Daphnia pulex: one gene and its partner. The protein of the gene in region 2 interacts with the protein of the main gene of each other region in a pairwise test. Links are inferred from orthologs where the notes say so. Each region holds a gene or a part of one and is shown on either strand. Other genes may lie near its edges. The genes, in order: programmed cell death protein 10-like and serine/threonine-protein kinase svkA-like.

Region 1 (3,835 bases), about 6.0 Mb from region 2:
TGTTCAGGTTGAAAATCTTTCTATTTAAATTCCCCACCTGGAAATTGTCCTTTTCCGTCAGTCTAGTTGACGCGGAAAATACTGATAATTTGCAGTGTAATCTAGAATTTACACTACGAGCTTTCTTTCTTGCTATGACGTCATTTTCTTGGTTTACTTAAACAACTTTAAACAATCATTGCTATCGTAATCCTCCGGAACTTGTTCGAGTAGATTTCTTCTCTACTTTTTGTTTTTGTTTTAAATGGCTTATTATTGAGACTTGCCAAACCGCTCCCAGTTTACAGCGTACTTTTTGTTATTGGAAGAAACTTTCTTCGTTTTTTTTTCCTTATTACATTTTACTTTTCAAGTTTTATTTTATTTCTGGCTGTATACTCTTCGTGCAGTTATCCCTTCGTTTATGATATTGCTCTCAAAAGCTACACATGCTTCCTTTTGCTAGTAAAACTGTTTAACAGATTGCTCTAACCAATGAAAACATTTGAAATTCGAAGGTGTTTCTTCAGAAGCTCAAAAGAGAAAAGATTAGAACATTTGAATTGGTCTGTATTATTCAAATAAAATCTCAACATTTATGTTAGACTGCGAAGATATACTGTGTATTCTATACTTTTTAACTATATATATAACACGAAACCACCGCATATATATAAACAGGCTTATAATTACTGCTTATAGAAAGTTCAACAATGTTTATTCTCTGGAATGTTAGGTCGGGCTAGGATAACATGCAACGGATTTCATCATTAGGAGCGGTCTAGGAGGTGGCGAGCAATAAGGATTTTGTGGATGATAAGATAACGAGAGAGAGAAAAAAAAATGGGGTGAAGAGATGCAGACAACCCCCTCAAGGGTACTCACACCTGATCTGAAAATGGACGGTGTAAAACGATGAAAGAACGGATTAAGTTGTGTTTTTATTTTTTGAAATATAAATATTCACGACTGTGTGTGAAGCACCACTTAAACCGCTACCGAATTGCGACGTCTCCGAGCATCGACCTTCACCGCAGCTTGAAAGATTTTTTAACAAAACTTATTCACAACAATCTTTAACGGTTGTAATAATGAAATTGGATTGCTGTATCAAGCAGAGGGCACTCAGGAAGACAGCATTTGCTTGTCCATCGCGGAAGTATTCTTTCAACGTCGTGCTGAACCGTTTAGAATACTTGACGAATTCTCGTTTTCGCTGTTCCAGGCGCTGTTTTCCCGAGCCGAATATTATGTAGACGGCCACTTCATTAACTGCGTCAAGCAGTTTCTTTATGGCACTTGCAATTTCTTTAATAGTCTCCAGAAAGGCTTTGCGGTCTCCAATCTCATCAGGGATTCTACTCAGGATCTTCTTCAAACCAACTGACTTCTTACACAGTTCCTGTTCAGTAAGGGGCTATCATGAGTATTTGAAATTGTGATATTTAAAGCGGAGCTACCTGAAAGGCATCTTCAGAGCGGTTAATTCTGTAATCAGGTGATTCTTGATCCAAGGCTGCTCCTTGAACTCTTAAAAGACTCTCATTCATGTTGACTTTTTGTGACAATTCTGCCTTTTTCATCAGTCCCAAAATGAAACTGTGGCAGAGGCCTGGATGGGCAGATTCGGCATTACTAAAGGCAGCTTTCAGCAGTTGGGCAGCACCTGGATCTTGTTTCTCCAAGTTTACCAGAGATGGGCCCACCAAAATAGGCAACACTAAAGAAGACAACATGCTTTCTTCTCCCATAGTCATCTTTGTAGAAGCTTCTGCCACTTTAATTACCTATTTAAAACAGATAATTAGTTGAGATACAGTTTGCGACTTTAAGCCTTAAAAAAGTCACATGCATTTGATAAATGCTTTAGCATGATGTTGGAATAAGAATAAGTGTCACTAGAAGTTAAATTCCATAGGGATATCGCGTAATTTCTTGAAAAATTGCACACACAACTACAACTAGCTTGTCTAGAGAAAGTAAATACGAGTGTGTTGATCGACTAGATCGAATGAGTTCAATCAAAGTAAGCCACTAGACAAGTGTTTGTACTAAACAAGGTAAGAAAACCTTGGAAAAGGAAACAGAGATATCCAGTGTAGTAATTTCACAGTTGGATCTAAGATAAACAAAACATATCACTTACAAATAAATAAGCAAAAGGAATAACGCTCAACCATCTGATCTGACGTACGTAGTTCTGTTACTTCATTTCAAAAGGCAACCTTGTTTGAAATGAGGAAACACAATGAATATATTCTTTATTGATTATTAATTTTTATAACTTAATGATTTTGACGTTTAAATTGAATTTTAAAATATTATTTGATTTCTTATATTTTTGGTGAAATAAATTTTTTGTTTAATTTTTTTACAGTCGTACTGGCAACGCTTATCGCTCTAGTTCAAAATGTCATCATTTCCAAGAGCAAGAGTTATCAGAATTCTTTTAGTATTCGTGACCATTTCTGCTTTATTTGTCGACGGACAAAAAAGTTATTTTGATGAAATCAAAAATGCAATGCACAACCTTAAAAGTTTTTTGCATACTGGGCTTGATGGGCTTGCTAAGTTGGCCAAAACGATTCAAGTAGTAGAACAGTTTGTTGACGCAACTATCGATGAAGATTGTGAGCCATACACGTGTCCAAAAGGTTAATTTACATAAAAAAACAAATTTGCTTGGATTAAAATATCTTCTTGATGCTGTTTCTTGTTGAAGGATTTATCAGAAAAGCAAATCCTTTGCACATACCGGAAAGTAATGGATGTGGATCATTTGGATATACGGTAAATGAAGAAATCCTTGTGTGTGCTGGTTCTATTTAATCTCTTGTGCTAATAATATCATCAGTGGAAAGAAGAGAAACTGCCTTTAAAAGAGTTAGAAGAATGCTGTCACACCCACGATTATTGCTATGATGACTGTGGAGCCGATAAAGATTTGTGTGACTTGCATTTTAAAAAGTGCCTCTACAAAGTATGTTCAAATCATGAAGAAGAATTATCATTGCTGTTCATGAAAGGTAATAATGTAATTTTTTTTTTTTTTCTAAAAATGTTAGTAAATGTCCTTTTTCTGTTCAGCCTGCAAAGGGACTGCAAAGTTAATGTACACAGGAACATTAGCTTTAGGATGCCAGGCTTATCGAGAAGCACAGAATAAGGCCTGTCAGTGCTATGCAAGAGATGAATTCTGAAAAAAAAATTTTGTGATGATATGCTTAACTATTAAATCCATTGTAAAAAAATCCTCCATTTCTAATCAAAATTAGAAATAATTGAATTAAATAATAAAGTGTTAGTTTTAGGTTTTACAAAATTTGACTAATTTCTTCCATTCTAAATTTCATTTTCTAGATATTTTGGTCGTGTTTGATGCATTATCTCTTCAAATTCCTTTATTTCTTCAGTTTCCTTTTCGAACCAAAGAGGTCGCCGTTAGTTAAGTGTAAGGAGTAAAACAGAATCCCTTCAAGTAATCCACCCAAATGTCCCGTATATTATGTCATGAGAAAAGTTCTCTGAAAAAGTTTTTTTTAGTGAAACTCAAGTATTTAATTAATTAATATTTCAGTTTGCCAAAAGGAAACTAATTAACGAAAGAAAAATCCATCGCTTTTCCTTTTAAAGTTTTTTAAATGCCTCTCTCAGTCCTAAAGTTTGTGTTTACTTCTGTATTCTTCATCGCGTTTTCCCCTGACTAAATTATTATAGGCTCATCTAGTCTTGTTAATAAGTGGAAAACTTGTTGCCTTTTGGTTTACTCCGGATTTACCCATTTACCGCGAATGGATTCTCTTGCAACAATTCATGGTAAAGAAGTTTTGATATTGCATTAATAATTCCTGTCATT
Region 2 (2,831 bases):
CCGGCGCTGAAGATGGCGGGGAACGTGACTGCTGCTGCTGCTCAGAGGATGACAACACCTTGTTGGTGCTGCTGGTAGTGGTCGACTCTTTGTTATCTCCTCCGTTGTCGCTCCAATCCGACGGGTAGCCACTGCGGGCCACGATCGACTCGATGCTCGTCACCGTGTTGATCCACGGATCGCTGGCGTCGTTGTCCGTGTGAGAGCCCTCACTAAATGAAATGAAATCAAACGGAAATTCTTGTGAATCTGTTCAAACAACCCAACAAGTGTCAAATATATGAAAACCGGTTTTCGTACGAGTCGGAGTTGTCGGAATCGGTGCCACTGTCGCCGTTGTGCATCATCCGCCATTTTTTGAAGCGGTCAATCAGGTCGATCAGGTAGGGATTCTTTTTGGCCTTGCGGATGAAAGGCGTTTTCAGCAGCTCCTTGGCCGTTGGCCTCTGTTTTAATCAAATCAAATGAAGTTATTTTTTTCAATTTTCGATTCCGACCGGAATTTCATTTATACATTTTCGGGATCTTTATTGAGACAAGCTTCAACAAACTCCTTAAACTGCTTGGAGTAATTGCCCGTCAATTGAGGCGGATTGTTCTTTGGGATGAGGAAGAGGACCCGCATGGGATGCAAATCGGAATTGGGTGGCTCCCCTTTGGCAAGTTCGATAGCCGTGATGCCCAGCGACCATATGTCCGCCTGGAAACGCCAACACAGAAAAATGTCGTTAGCAAGAAAACTAAAACTGGAAAAACGGGTTGGACAACACCAGAATGTCGCCTTACTTTTGAGTCGTAGGCTGATTGCTTGATGACTTCAGGTGCCATCCAGAAGGGCGTTCCCACAAAGGTGTTGCGCTTGCTGGTCGTGTTGGTCAACTGGCCGGCAACGCCGAAATCCGCCAATTTCACGTCGCCCTGCTCGCTCAGCAACACGTTGGCAGCTGCGGGGAAAGAGAAAACGGGAGGTGGTGATGATGATGATGATGACGGCCAACATTAGCCAAACGGCCAAGGCCGTGCTCTTCTTGGAAGAAATCATTTTTGTTGATTATTATTTAAAATTTTCTCTCACCTTTAATGTCGCGATGGAGTTTGCGTTCAGAGTGAAGGTACTCCAAGCCCTTGAGCACTTCGCGGAGGATGATGGCGATTTGCATTTCGTCGAAATGGCCGGCCTTCATCAGGTCGAGCGCCGAACCGCCGCCCAGGTACTCCATAATGATCCACAGTTTCGTCTCCTAACAGACAAAGAAAAAAAAGAGAAATTCGTCAGTCTGAAATTTAAAAAAAAAAAAAGAAATTTTGAATTTGGGTTTTTACTTTGAGGTAGGATCCGTAGTAGCGAGTGACGTAAGGGCTATCGCACTGCGACAACACCATAATCTCCTGCTGGATGTCTTCGATCTCATCTTCGGCTTCTTCCAGGTCGATGATTTTGATGGCCACGATCTGCTGCGTCCGGTTGTCGATGCCTTTAAACACTTCGCCAAACGAGCCCTTGCCGATCCTCTCCTGTTTGGTGAAGATCAATTCGGGATCCACTTTCTACAACCAAGAAAAATTCAGACAAACAAAAACAAAAATTTGTATTTAGATAAAAGTATTCGGGAATCAGTCAGAAAGGCGAAACGTGACGTCATAACGGGATGCCTTTTTATGGCTAAGGCCAGACCGATGATCGAGTGCCGAATGTTTGACACACTTGTGTGTGTGCCTTGTGTGCATCAACTAACGGTGAAAACACGATTTGCTTTTTTCACCGTCCCGTCTTGACCAACGTCCAAAAAGGTCGTTTTAAGTGCTGGCCCTAGGGGCGACGGAATACCTACTCAAGATAACTCGCAAGTTATCACTCTCCTCCTGCTGCTGCCAGCACTCGACGCAAAACGCATATCGACTGGCCAAAAAAAAAAGAACCGGATAAAATGGCCGGAAGAATAATAACGAAAAATGTAAAAAAGACACGAAGAACATGAGACTAATAATCATCCGCCCATGGAAGCGTCAAGCGTGGCCGGTTTTCTTTTTTTCTTTTCTTTCTTTCTCTTTTAATAGAAAATCGTCAGGTGACATTCACGGACCGGTCGTCAAACGACACGGGGGGGAAATTGGCACACACGGCAATAATTCTCGTCCCGTTTGTCCCTTTTTAGTTTTTTTAGTTTTAGTTTTCTTTTTTTTTCCAATGTTTTTACCATCCGGGACGTTAAGCCACCGGTGCCGATTGCACGCGACGGTGGCCGTTGCTGATTGGGTCGCTGCTGCAGCGAAGGATGTTGAATCAAGGCCGGCGGCAGACTGTTGCGATGTTGTTGGTGGCGATGATGTTTGTTGATGTTGTTGGCCCCGCTAATGGGATGACTGCCACTGCTGCTGCTGCTGCTGGTGGTATTGTTCCGGCTGCTGGGCGACGCCACCGGAAGGTGGTGGGCAGCAGCAGCGGCGGCCGCCACCACGGGCATGGAGACAGCCGGTCTCATCCCGCCACCCATTCCGGCTCCGTAGGCGTCCAAGTGTCCGGTAGATCCTCCGTACGAGTGCTTGAGCTTGTAGCCCTTGGGCACGACGGGCTCCGATTTGGGCGACGAGGATTTGGAGCCGAGTCCGCCCCAGAAGGCCGAGAGCGGGCGAGGCCGGTCGCTCGACAAACTGCTGCCGCTCCGGTTGCCACTGCTGGCGCTGCTGGCGCTGCTTCCCAACGATTTGTCGCGCTTCATCTCGCCGATGATGCCCATGTCTCAACTCACTCACGGCCGCCGCCAGTCCATACGACTCCTCACCCCACCCCTCTCCAAGAGATTTCTTCTTGGATTCAAAATAATTGAGAA

The links.
Region 1: the proteins of serine/threonine-protein kinase svkA-like (region 2) and programmed cell death protein 10-like interact in a two-hybrid assay, tested with the Caenorhabditis elegans proteins (2 studies listed by BioGRID). The link is inferred for Daphnia pulex from reciprocal best matches to the Caenorhabditis elegans genes gck-1 and ccm-3.

What each region holds. Positions count from the first base shown.
Region 1 is NC_060025.1:9,340,610-9,344,444, forward strand, and holds programmed cell death protein 10-like, read right to left. Parts: upstream 2,193-3,835; 5' UTR 1,853-2,192; coding exon 1,832-1,852; coding exon of another isoform or gene 1,828-1,831; intron 1,767-1,827; coding exon 1,440-1,766; intron 1,382-1,439; coding exon 1,040-1,381; 3' UTR 681-1,039; downstream 1-680. Other genes in the region: probable RNA-binding protein 46, read left to right, coding at 1-28; group XIIA secretory phospholipase A2-like, read left to right, coding at 2,390-2,633, 2,702-2,769, 2,834-3,005, 3,067-3,179. UniProt on the Caenorhabditis elegans protein: Involved in excretory canal elongation during postembryonic development. Plays a role in promoting Golgi stability, ER integrity and vesicle transport probably by regulating the activation of Rho GTPase cdc-42. Involved in fertility.
Region 2 is NC_060025.1:3,352,493-3,355,323, reverse strand, and holds part of serine/threonine-protein kinase svkA-like, read right to left. Parts: exon of another isoform or gene 2,809-2,831; 5' UTR 2,739-2,808; coding exon 2,199-2,738; intron 1,549-2,198; coding exon 1,324-1,548; intron 1,242-1,323; coding exon 1,076-1,241; intron 945-1,075; coding exon 787-944; intron 701-786; coding exon 515-700; intron 447-514; coding exon 301-446; intron 213-300; coding exon 1-212. UniProt on the Caenorhabditis elegans protein: Serine/threonine-protein kinase which is required for normal oogenesis and suppression of germline cell apoptosis. Inhibits phosphorylation and thus probably activation of mpk-1 during pachytene stage.